Danio rerio: one gene and its partners. The protein of the gene in region 2 purifies or fractionates together with the protein of the main gene of each other region. This does not show direct contact. Links are inferred from orthologs where the notes say so. Each region holds a gene or a part of one and is shown on either strand. Other genes may lie near its edges. The genes, in order: clk2a, pnn and ncbp3.

Region 1 (4,264 bases), on a different chromosome or scaffold from region 2:
AACCAGGTTGTTTGTTTTCCAGCACTACTCAATGGAAATGTTTATACCTCCTGGATCTGGCATAGCCGGTGTCCTGTCTGTGTCCTCTCGCTCTCCTCTCACGTTCACTGCTGGAAGAATAGGTTGGAGAGCGGCGATGTCGAGGTTTTCTTCCTCGATCTCTGTCTCTGTCCCGCTCTCTATATCGATCTTGGTAGCTGCTGCGGCTGGCCCTCTCCGAGGACGGATACCGCCTGGAGTGTGGCATCTGCTTGAGTTGAAGAAGGAAAAAATACTAATAAATTTTTTCAAAAAAAATCAAAAGAAAAAAGTAAAACAAGCATTTAAATAGTTGCAACAGCAAAAATCTTTTGAGCTGTGGACAATGTGAAAATGTATTTTTCTCTGATGAGTCCATCATCACTCTCTTTCCCACATCCAAGAGAGTTACAGAGTGGAGAAGCCCCAAAGAAGTGCACCACCCAGACTGCTGCATGCTCAGAGTGAAGCATGGGGTGGATCAGTGATGGTTTGGGCTGCAATGTCATGGCATTCCCTATGCCCAATACTCATGCTAGATGGGCCTGTTACTGCCAAGGACTACCGAACCATTCTGGAGAACTTTGTGCACCTAATGGAACAAACATTGTATACTAAAGGCAGTGCTGTGTTACATACCAGTGGTAAAAGTTGTTCTTAATTTTTTGTTTTTTCTTCATAGATTTAGAATTAATTTTTGTACGAAACTTTTAATAAATCATTACCTGTTCGTGAAAATGCCCATATGCACATTACATGCATAAAACTTTGTGTATACAGGATGAGGATGTATTAAAAATGTAATTTGTTTTATTTCAACCATGTCAAATAAAAAAAATCACTTAAAATATAAACTTTTGTATAATACCTAAATTACAATTTTCCATAAGTACAGATAAGAACAAGCATAATGTTTTTTTTATTTTTATTTAAATCAATATATCAGTTACGATAGAACGTCAATATATGAGTAAAACAAGAAAGATTTAGATTAATTGTTGTAAACACCAAAATGCGACGTCTCATCAATTCCGAACTTTTTTTAAATAAAAAATAATTTTCAACTAATTATTATTACTAATTCTATTTTTTCAAACTGATATCTAACAAATTATCTAGCCCTGTCATTAAAGAGATCAGAAAAATGTACATTTACTCACACTTAAGTGGTTTTTATGAGTTTCCACTGTTGAAAAAAAAGCTGAAAACCTGTGACCACTGACTTGCATAGCAGGAAACACAAGTACAATGAAAGTAAAGGGTTACAGGTTTTTATCTGTCTTCAAAATATTTTCTTTTGTGTTCAACAGAGGAAAGTCAAACAGGTTTGGAGAAGTAAACGATAACAGGATTCTCAATTTGGGGTAACCTAGCCTTTTAACAGGGTGAAGCAGTGGCGCAGTAGGTAGTGCTGTTGCCTCACAGCAAGAAGTTCGCTGGTTCGAGCCTCGGCTCAGCTGGCGTTTCTGTTCGTAGTGTATGAGTGTGTGTGTGTGTGTGAATGTGTGTGTGGATGTTTCCCAGAGATGGGTTGTGGCTGGAAGGGCATTCGCTGCGTAAAAACTTGCTGGATAATTTGGCGGTTCATTCCGCTGTGGCGACCCCGGATTAATAAAGGGACTAAGCAGACAAGAAAATGAATTAATGAAAAACTTTTTAACAGAAACAATAGACATGGGGGCGTGGGGAGGTATCTTCTGTATTTTATTTTCACTATTATTGAATTTAGGACAAGTGTGACATTTGTGGGGAGTTATTTGGGACATGATAAAGCAGGTGTTAAGACGACACTTGGCACAGGCTTAGACATTAGCATGAGAATGAAAAACACCACATTACTATTTATATTGTTTTTTATATTTATATTTTTTGCATGGATGGCACTTTGTTACTGCCATGCAGTGCTTAAAAACTGAAAAAAAGACGCCTCAGGTCTGCAAAACATTGAATACTACACATCAAAAATATTATACAGACCAGTTTTAGATTTTATCAGGATCTTTATACACATTAGTAAACATATATAATATAATATAATATATATATATATATATATATATATATATATATATATATATATATATATATAAATAATATAGTAAAGCAATAGAAAATAATTTTGAGTTAAAAAAATCAAAATTAATTAGATTTAAAAAATAAACATTTAGCCGAACCAGAAGAGGATTTGAAACGAAGAATTCAAACAAATAATCTGAAAGCTAGATGACATAACGTTAACTTACAGCACTTTGAAATGCTGCGTTTGCCTGTGAAATTAGCCGCAAACTAGATCAAGTCCCAGTTATTAGAGCACACTTCTATATTTAGCCAAAAAACCACAGACACAGCGGTAACACGCAAATGCTTTTAACTGTGAAATAACGATGTCTTAAAAAAAAACAGAAGTGTAATAACATGTAGAAGTGTGTCCAGCGAATTATGACTGAAAACTGCTGTAAAGACAAGGTAAGCTAACCAACTAACGCTGGCTTAACTTGTTATTTCTAATCGCTATTTTTATGCTCGTTCATTTAACGTAAAGTCGCCATGTATCACTCGTCTCTATGGCATAAATGTGAACTGTCGTTTTTGGTGCAAACACGACGCACAAGATGATGTCGCAACGTTTGAAAACGGCAGCTAAATGTGATGTTTTTTTAGCAGAGTTAGCTGCTATCCTCGTCGACGGCCATTTTGAGATCTTCTAATCTTCAACGGACCGTTTCTCTAAAACGCTCCTGAATATTTGAAGGGGAAAGTGACAGACAGCGAAATAATGATTCGTAATCACCGTTTGTGCAGCCAGCCCTGTCCGTTTATCCCAAAGAAAATCCGTGTTGACGCTTCGGATCCCAAATTCTCACTCAAGTCTAATTATTAAACGGTGAAGAAAAAAACACTTCCGGCCCCTCCTCCCGACGCGTCTTTATACCTATACGCGCGCGCGCATCACTTTCACCGTCAACTCGGACAGTATGAACAGTCTCATGAGTTCCATATTCCACCAGACCGCACACCACAGAGAGAGAAGAAAGAGTAATAAAGCCAATTATGATATGGGGATGGTTAGGAGGCCATGATGGACAGAGGCCAGTGGGTAAATTTGGCCAGGATGCCGGGGTTAAACCCGTACTCTTTTTCGAAAGACATTCTGGGATTTTAGGGTACATGCTGAAGCATGCTAATAGGACTTTTAATTTCCCAAGTAACCTGGGTTAAGCGCTTCCGGCGAACTGTATGCCAACGGAAAAATCTGCACGTTTTTAAGGTCTGTTTTCTTTAAAAATCAGCGATCTCCACTGGCTGAGTGATATCAGATATGAAGTGGGCCTCAGATTGTACTAGAAGCACTGCATTAAATTACATTTTCCCCGCCATGTCTTTATAATATTAGCATTGGAGCGACTGCGCTATCCTGCCGATTCTGACGGGCGAGTGCGAGTAAAAGGCCTTTTGTCTCGTTTTACGCTTGAACAACTAAATGAATGCCAAAGTTTATTTAACTGAATGTATTTTAATTACATTACAACATGAGTGCTGTAAAAGGAACCGGAAAAAATTGAAAAAAAAAAACTCACAATAACCGGTCACCGGAAGTATATAAGTATATGGGAACAACACTAGCTCGGCATATACCCAATTATATTCATCTGTCTCCATATTTTGCTGCATCTCAGAATATTACACAGCACCAAAAATGTAAAAATATATATATACTGAATATATTTAATATATTTTTGTGTACGGCAGACGGCAACTCGCCGTGACGCAGATTCCCGAGTCTGTGCTCCAATCAGGTGAGCCCTCTTCAGCGCTAGCCATGACAACGAGATAGCAGTGACGTGCCTTGTAAAAATTTGCATCTGCATTCCTATAAAGCTCGTGTGCTCTCTGTCAGCGTTGTCAGTTCGCTCGGTGTTGCTGTTTGTACTTGACCAAGGTGAGTTCAATACCGACGGTACGAGTGGAGCCACGCCAATCTCACGAAGTCCGCTTCGTGAAGCTTCACTCGGGCCCGTCTGTGCTGTAGTTCCTTGTGGTTTGCGTACATAAACGCAATATCGCAAGGAAGATTACGTGTTTGTTGCTCGAAATGTGCCGCCGAGCAACATCCAGTGAATACTGGCACGGCCTGGCGCCCGGTTTTCTCGTGCACTCCCTGGGGCGAGGCGGCCTTTGAGCCCTAGGCAGGGAACAAACAACCCCCGAGGACCCTCAGGGAAACACGGGGGGCCGGTAGTGGGAC
Region 2 (4,300 bases):
CGTGAATCTCTCCTGGCTCGCTGATCCCCTGCCAGCCTAGTACAGACATTTGTAAATAGCATGCAATAAAATGGCAATTTACTTATTTCATAAAATACCCAGAAAGTGGAAATTTGGCAAGGGATGCCTCACCTCAAGAGTGCCCCGTCGATGTCTCTCAGTTTGGCTGGGGGTCCTCCACCGCTATCTGAGAGTCCACGCCTGAGAGAGATTTACAGATGTTAAACAACATGCATTTAGTATGATCATGGGTCCGTCTTTGTACGAACAGATTCTTACCTCAGCAAATTGATTCCACGCCCCCTACCTCCTCCTGGGCCTGGGATGGTCAGTCTTCTATTCTGACCCGGTCTGAAAAAGGCAATAGATACACGGTTAATAATCATACATTGAAATACCAATCACGACTGTATGATGCATTACACTGCTCAATGCAGTGTTTGCTTTAATGTTATTCACCTCACAGCTGGTTAGTTAAAACCATGTCAATCAATTTCACTGTATAGTAGTCAATCAATTTCACTGTAATTGGTTTCAAGGTTTACAGCGGTTTAAAAACCGCAAGAATTTTCTGCTATACCGTTCCTACGGTATATGTACAGTTCTTTTACGTGTTTTTTTTTTTTAAGGACTAACACAAACACAAACACACACACTCGCATACACACGCGCACACACACAGCACATGTGGATGTATTGTATTTAATTAACTTTGTCTATATCTAACAACATATTCCCTGACTTCGGTCTTTTGAATTATTACTTGTTCTCAAGTTGTGTTTTGGCTGAGCGCAAAGACAAGTTCATATATTAATTAACATAACCACAAACACGGATTCTGCACATTTGACTGATTGATTGCATTTATTTCCCATAATGTAAACTTATTGTACGTTACACATTTATAATGGCCATTGTTGATTATTTGATTATTAAAACTTATTCAACAAAGGAGACAGGGTATGTTTGGCATTTTCAATGAAAATGGAGGCAGTTATGTTATAGGCTTCGTTTTGTTATGCATACAGTAAAGATGATGGTCATATAAATATGTAGCCACATGACGTCTCAACATTTTTGGTGGCTGTTAATTAGTAGCTGTTGCTAATACCAAAATGAAAATAGGCAGTTCTTTAAATAATGTTTTCATTTTTATTGCTAAGAAAGTAAAACAATATAGCCGAGGTGATGTGAATGAGGTTTTAAAGTACGCTGTTCCCTGAAGATTTACCCGACGTGTCCTTGGGAGTTTGTTTTCCATATCAAGCTTGCGAAGTCTGAACTTACAAGGAGAAGATGCAAGACTGAACTGTGTAGGCTACTTAATATTGAGGGAAAATCTGCAGCCACGTCTCCGTTTTCAGATATCTCCGTTTTCCCCCATCCATAGTGAGATGGAGCAGCAGCGTTTTCAAACTAAAACTGCGTCTTCAGGCGTAACCGTTCCAAAACTCATGTGTTTTCAAACTAAAACGTATTAGTGTAAACGGGGCCTAAGAAGAGAGGGAGAAATGAAGATGGTTTTGAGATTGTCAATTAACATTTAATGTTACCCTGTTTTTGTTTGTTTTATTGTTAAAAGCTAACTGTAAATGTTTTAATTAAATGTTGTAAATGAATTAGACTTAGTTTAAATGAACATATTGTCACATGACAATCCAGGTGGTGAGCAAATACAACTTTTAAATGATAACTTATTGCAATAAAATATAAACAATCATATTTGTAACAGTGGAGTTCAATGCTGAATACACAAGTCAAGCAGAATCTGCCTTCGACTTGATTATACTGCATTAGTTAATACAATTTACAGCAGGGGTGTTCAAACTCGGTCTTGGAGGGCCGGTGTCCTGCTTAGTTTAGCTCCAACTTCCTACAAAACACCTGCCTGAAGGTTTCTGGTATACCTAGAAATAGCTTGATTTCCTAGTTCAGGCGTGTTTAATTGCAGTTGGAACTAAAATATGCAGGACACCGGCCCTCCAGGACCAAGTTTGGACACCCCTGATTAAAAGTAATGTTTTCAATTTATTTAAAAATATTAAGAAATAAATTGTGAAAATTTCCCATGGCAACTTTAATGTAATATAGTTTGGCTAGGTATGTTTATCTCGATCATATTTGCTTTTTGGCCCTTCATACAAAAAAACAAAAAAACAACAACTTTGGGCACCCCTGGTCTAGAATGACAATGGCCCATCCCTTTTATGCCACCTGACATGTATCAAAAACATATGATCGTTGAAAAATAAACAAGCCTGTCCCATACAAACATCCGGTTTTACAAGAAAATAAACCCGTTTCTTGAGCACATCAAGGCTCATAGGGGACAAAAGATAATGCAACAGATCTATTATAATGTTCAGTGCAAAGCTCTTGAGGAAAGACCACAACTCTTCCCATTCAAAACGAAACAGGAAGTTCATATATGCTCGTTTTAACTTATACTTTTAAAACTAAAACATTGTTTTCAAGCTTTTAAACAAGTTACTAAACGTAGATTCAGAAAACAGCCCTCATCGTGCAGAGCTAAGACCTGATTTTATGAGGAGTGTCATTGTTTTCTCAAACATAAGCCCGCTCCTGGATGTCCACCATACAAATTTATAAAGACCTGGGTGATTCAAAATAAATAGCACTTATCAATATCGAATTGGACACATGTGCTCTCATTTAGCTTGTGAGCTAGCCGCAATATTAGCTTGCTATCAGGCCCTGGACTAATTTCTCCACAACAAATTCGTTAATGATTAAAACGCGTTCATTAAGCAATACCTTAATTCACCCGGATCTCTGCCGGTTAGTTTTCGAATATTCTCGTCCACGCTCTTTAAGCCTTCCTTGGCTTTTTCGAGCTGGTCTTGCAAACTTCGCACGGCCACCGCCATCTTGCTCTCCGTCTTCAAGCAGCGCGTGTGGTGTCGCGAGCGCGCACGGCTCAATGTAGGCGCGTAGCCGTGATCACGTGGGCGGGCGGTGCCTGTCTGTTTGATAGAAGTATGGGTAAACTTGATACCCGCATCAACATTGCGTAATTTTGCACACTGTACAACAATATTTTAACATTACTGCGAGGACTGGGTTTAGGATGGGTTAGACAAAAATACATTTTAATGAGTGATTAAAAAATGATATGAATATTTCTCATTATACTTGCTGTTTTTACATTACTGTGAGGGTTGTGTTTGAGGTTGGGAAAGCGGTAGACATTAATAAAATACAATTAATGGGAATAAACAAATAATATAAATAATTCTCGTTAACTTATCGCCACGACTGTATCCCTTCTAGTATTAAGTTACCTTCAGGGAGTGAAATTCAGCCGTATAACGTTATTTCACCCTCAGAGATACATTTTTAGCTTTCATCATAACATTACAACATTGTTACACAAGATTTTTATGTGAAATTTTCCTAAATGTCTGATGATAACAATTACCTACAACATGGAAGCATTTCTCTTGATTTTTTTGACTTATAATAATTATTTTAAATACAAAAATAGGCTTTTCGAGAAACACTATAAAATGGCATTATAGCCTATGGCTTTATATGGTTTCCATTATTTATAACAGCTTCAACTACAACTACTGATGGCCTATTTATTTGCCAACTTGGTTAAGAATACATGACCTTTATAACGATAACTTTTCTTTTTAAATTTTACTCCTTCTGAATAAATATTATATATGAGCAATATCACACAAGTAGCAGTGTGATGTGGCTGTATATTGGCACTGGTGGGAGGCGTGCGATGTGTCCCACCAGTGACGATATACAGCCTGCTACAAGTGTTATATTGCATTTATACAACAGTTAATTCACCAACGTCACTTTAGAGCTAGAACTTAATGATTCTCTAGCATAATATCTGGAGTGAAGACAAAACAGATTTTGCTCACATTTTAAGATTATAAGGCTGAACGGCATGAAATGTCATCAGTCTACAGAGATTCCCCAGTATTTCTCTGTTGCAATCGGTAGATCACAATAATCCTCAAAAAGCCAAAGATTTAGATTACTAATCAAATTACTGTTGTGTTTGCGATAAGGAAAAATGCTAAACACATGCAGGCACTTCTTTCATTTTACTGAACTAGTCTGCAGTAACAAATGCAAGAGACACCTAGAAACAAACATATGGTCAACCAAAAAGTAACTCAGGGTTATACAAAGTGGCCATCAGAAAATACATACATTCCTGATATGTGGGTCCCATCTCACACACAACACACAATTATTATGGTATAAATACAGCACTACAACATACAAAACAGACAGATCGACTTAGAATGTCACT
Region 3 (3,652 bases), on a different chromosome or scaffold from region 2:
CCAACCTTCGCAGTCTTCGGTGAGTGCAGGTTTCTTATAGAGGCCAGTTTTATCCCAGTTTCTATCCCATTGGCTGATCCAGTTTGAACGTCTTAATGATAATTTCTTTCTTTGTCTCTTCCACTTTCCCAGGAATTCAATACGGACTGAATCCAGTGGCAGTGTTAAAAGTCGCATTGGTGGTGGAGGTGGAGGAGGAAGTGGAGGTGCAGTAGAGGAACGAGGAGAAGGAGGTTCATCCAAATCTACATCAGAGAAAGTAACAGATGTGAGGCAGTTACTGGAGGAGAAGAGGCAGGGACTTTCTCAACAGAGATCACGCCCTCCAGTGGCCACAAGCGGCAAGACCGGTTAGTTATTAAGAGAGCTTTTTTTGTTGTTTATTATTATTTAAAAGGATGGTTCACCCAAAAAGGCTCGATTCAAATCATTTTGAGTTTATTTGTTCTGTTAAAATACTCAAAATAGGTTATTTTGATTGTTGAAAACGTATTCATCAATTTCCATATTGGAATTTCCTTCCATGGATGTCAACAGGACTTTTTTTTTCACACTGTGCTTAACCCCTTCTAAACACAGCTTTCAAATCTGGGTAAAGACATGTTTTATACCTAATTTAAAATTTAAAAATGTTATTAGCACAACTTTTTACCAAGGGTTATAAAACACTGCTCAACAACAAATTTGCTGTATTAAGGTTGATTTATACTTCTGCGTCGAGTGATCGCCATGAACCATGCTGCCTGCTTTGCGTGTAGGAGTGCATTGAATCTTCTTCTTCTTTTGTGTTACTTTGCTAGCTGGCAGTAGGTTTTTATGTTCCTCTTTGTCGAGGTTTGTCGTGAGTTTTTTTGTTTTTCTGAACGCTACCTTAATGTACAAGTAGCTCGAACTGGCTCAGCCGGCGAACTTTAATCATAAGGTAAACACAAAAAAAGTTTTCATCTGGAGCTCCTTCATGGGACTCAACACTTGTAAACACTTGTTACAGCTACCAAGCCAACCAATCACAGCTTGCGCTACGTGTCTTGTAGTTAAATTTTTTAATTGATTTTGTTACATTTTTTTTTTAATGCGACCCTGCAAAGGCTGCTACGGACCATATGCATGTGCTTGACTCTGAAGTAGAAATCAGCCTTTAGGGGCTGTTCACATAACACATCTAAAAGTGTGTGGAAGATGCAAGCATGTCGCTTCGTTTACCATTTTCAATGCACTTTGCGATCGCACACTTTTGTCGTTTGTCATTGCTAGGTGACCATAAACTGTTTTTTTTTGTTTGTTTGTTTTTTTTTTTTTTTTATTCAAGATGATGACAAACTTACAAAACGTTGCGGCTTTGATACAAGTTTTATTTATGGAGAAAATAAAAAGCACTGCAGTGTTTGGCTTTTCTATGTTTGTCTAAAGTAATTAGTCTACCAAAATGTGTTTATTCCATAGAAAGTATGAAGATGATTGGTCAGTCCTAAAAAAATTGAGATGTTTTCAACTAGGTGCGCCTGGAAAACGTGTGCGAGTCCTGCTATGTGCGCATCGCTCCCAAAATGCGCATAAATACTTTCATTGAAATAGCAAACTTGCAAACAAGCAAAAGGCGCGATATGTGAACAGCTTCTTAACCCTGCATTCTGGTGCTAACATTTTTCTGTGGGAAACAAAATGGTGTTTGTTTGTTTGTTTGCTGCTGGAGGCTTGGCAATCAAAAACTAAGCAGTCTGTGAATGAATGAATGAATGAATGTACTTTTGTCTTTATTTTCTTCTCTTTTGCATCTCGTGAAGCTTAACTAAACATCTACGCAGCAACCATTTTATATAGATATTTATGTTTATATAACTGATTACTGTTGTGCTGAGCTTTTTTGCACAATGCATTTTCCTTGTAAATGTGATACATTTTCTTTGTTTTTCCACTGTAAACATGTCCTGGATGGTCATGTAATCATTGCTCATGTTTTATATGTAATTTTAAAAGGATTTAGCCATTTTTAAGATTATAAAACTCGGTGTAAACCATAATAACACGGTGAAATGATGGTAACATTCAAAACTTTTCCTTGAATGTTCACTAAGTAATGAAAAGTTGCTGATAAAAGGTTTTAGTTTTTACAATATGAACGGGGATCCCACGCTTTTTGAAAGTACTTGAATTTCAGACATTTTTCAGGACTGGAAAGTACTTAAAAACAAACATGAGTCCTTGAAAGTGCTTGAATTATATTTGAAATGAAATCTGTTTATGGTGTTATTTCAACAACTCTACTGTGCTGCTGTCAAAAACAGAACAAAACAAATCTTCAATTAAATTTTTTTATTTAAACTGTTCAAGAACGATGACAAGTAATGTGCATTTTATCAATATTTCACAATCAGTGTTTGAATATTACTAGTGAATTCAACCATGTTTAAGTTCTTTGACCATGGCTGTTTAAAAAAAAAACATTTCAGTTTAATTTCTACATTTTTAAAAATGACATTCACAACATAATCATTACTCAACATTTCAGATACACTTTATATTTACATTAAAGATGTCAAAGTACAGTGTAGGCATGGGATGAGAACCTGTTTCAAGGTTTACCACGATTTGGAAAAGTCAAGGTTTTAAAACCATTAACGTTTTCTGTTATACCATTGCTAAGGTACAGTTAGGTCCATAAATATTTGGACATCAACACAATTCTAACATTTTTGGCACCATACACCAACACAATGGATTTGAAATTAAAAGAAGATGTGCTTTAACTGCAGACTGTCAGCTTTAAGTTGAGGGTATTTACATCCAAATCAGGTGAATGATGTAGGAATTATAACAGTTTGCATATTTGCCTCCCACTTGTAAAGGGACCAAAAGTAATTGGAGAGAATAATAATTCCAAATAAAAATTAATTTTAAATACTTGGTTGCAAATTATTTGCATGAAGTCTGGAACGTATAGACATCACCATACGCTGGGTTTCATTGTTTTTTTTTTCCCCAGGCATTTAAAAAGAACTTATTGTAGAGTAATAATCACAATACCTTGATACCATGACTACATGATATTTTTGTTCAAGGTTATCATACCGTCAGAAACATATACCGGCCCATGCCTAGTACAGTGAGGACTTTCATGTCGCTGCATAAGCAGGCGTTGTAAATTACAAAAATTATTGATTTTAAAATTAAATATGCTTTAAAATGTCCTTAAACCTGCTTGTCATGGAAAAAGTGGAAACCATAATGAAAAATTGGGCCAGGAAAATAGTATACAGGCTTTGAATTGTTATCAGTTTTCATCATGAGCAAATGTGGAAGAGACTCACCTGTTTTTTGTTTTTTTCCTCTCCACAGATGTGAGACAGAGATTAGGCAAGAGACCACACTCCCCAGAGAGGCGTCGCTCTGTGTCTCCTGTGATCTCCAGAAAGACGGCGTCTCGGAGAGAGCCTTTGAGCGACGTACGCAGCAGACTCGGTGTAGCTAAACATGACAATCGCAGTCTCTTCTCTGAACCCCCCAAAGACAAGAAAACAGGTACACCTCAATTCAGCACTCCTCTCAGTTCTCTTCATATTTGCTCTCCAATACTAATATAACATTGGAGTAATGAAGACAAAAAAAAACATTTTAGTAAATTGGTTTAATTCCAAAGGCCTCAATAATTATG

What was found.
Region 1: the proteins of pnn (region 2) and clk2a purify together in Homo sapiens (affinity purification with mass spectrometry; 3 studies listed by BioGRID and IntAct, counting the BioPlex papers as one, with this or other methods). This does not show direct contact. The link is inferred for Danio rerio from reciprocal best matches to the Homo sapiens genes PNN and CLK2.
Region 3: the proteins of pnn (region 2) and ncbp3 purify together in Homo sapiens (co-immunoprecipitation; 3 studies listed by BioGRID and IntAct, counting the BioPlex papers as one, with this or other methods). This does not show direct contact. The link is inferred for Danio rerio from reciprocal best matches to the Homo sapiens genes PNN and NCBP3.

The regions. Positions count from the first base shown.
Region 1 is NC_133194.1:10,209,578-10,213,841, reverse strand, and holds the start of clk2a (dual specificity protein kinase CLK2), read right to left. Parts: upstream 2,923-4,264; 5' UTR 2,810-2,922; intron 1,035-2,809; exon of another isoform or gene 744-1,034; intron 611-743; exon of another isoform or gene 248-610; coding exon 48-247; intron 1-47. UniProt on the Homo sapiens protein: Dual specificity kinase acting on both serine/threonine and tyrosine-containing substrates. Phosphorylates serine- and arginine-rich (SR) proteins of the spliceosomal complex.
Region 2 is NC_133192.1:14,303,161-14,307,460, reverse strand, and holds the start of pnn (pinin), read right to left. Parts: upstream 2,918-4,300; 5' UTR 2,889-2,917; coding exon 2,776-2,888; exon of another isoform or gene 2,596-2,775; intron 1,851-2,595; exon of another isoform or gene 387-1,850; coding exon of another isoform or gene 352-386; coding exon 280-351; intron 202-279; coding exon 133-201; intron 37-132; coding exon 1-36. UniProt on the Homo sapiens protein: Transcriptional activator binding to the E-box 1 core sequence of the E-cadherin promoter gene; the core-binding sequence is 5'CAGGTG-3'. Capable of reversing CTBP1-mediated transcription repression.
Region 3 is NC_133196.1:33,663,027-33,666,678, reverse strand, and holds part of ncbp3 (nuclear cap-binding protein subunit 3), read left to right. Parts: coding exon 1-19; intron 20-132; coding exon 133-350; intron 351-3,336; coding exon 3,337-3,519; intron 3,520-3,652. UniProt on the Homo sapiens protein: Associates with NCBP1/CBP80 to form an alternative cap-binding complex (CBC) which plays a key role in mRNA export. NCBP3 serves as adapter protein linking the capped RNAs (m7GpppG-capped RNA) to NCBP1/CBP80.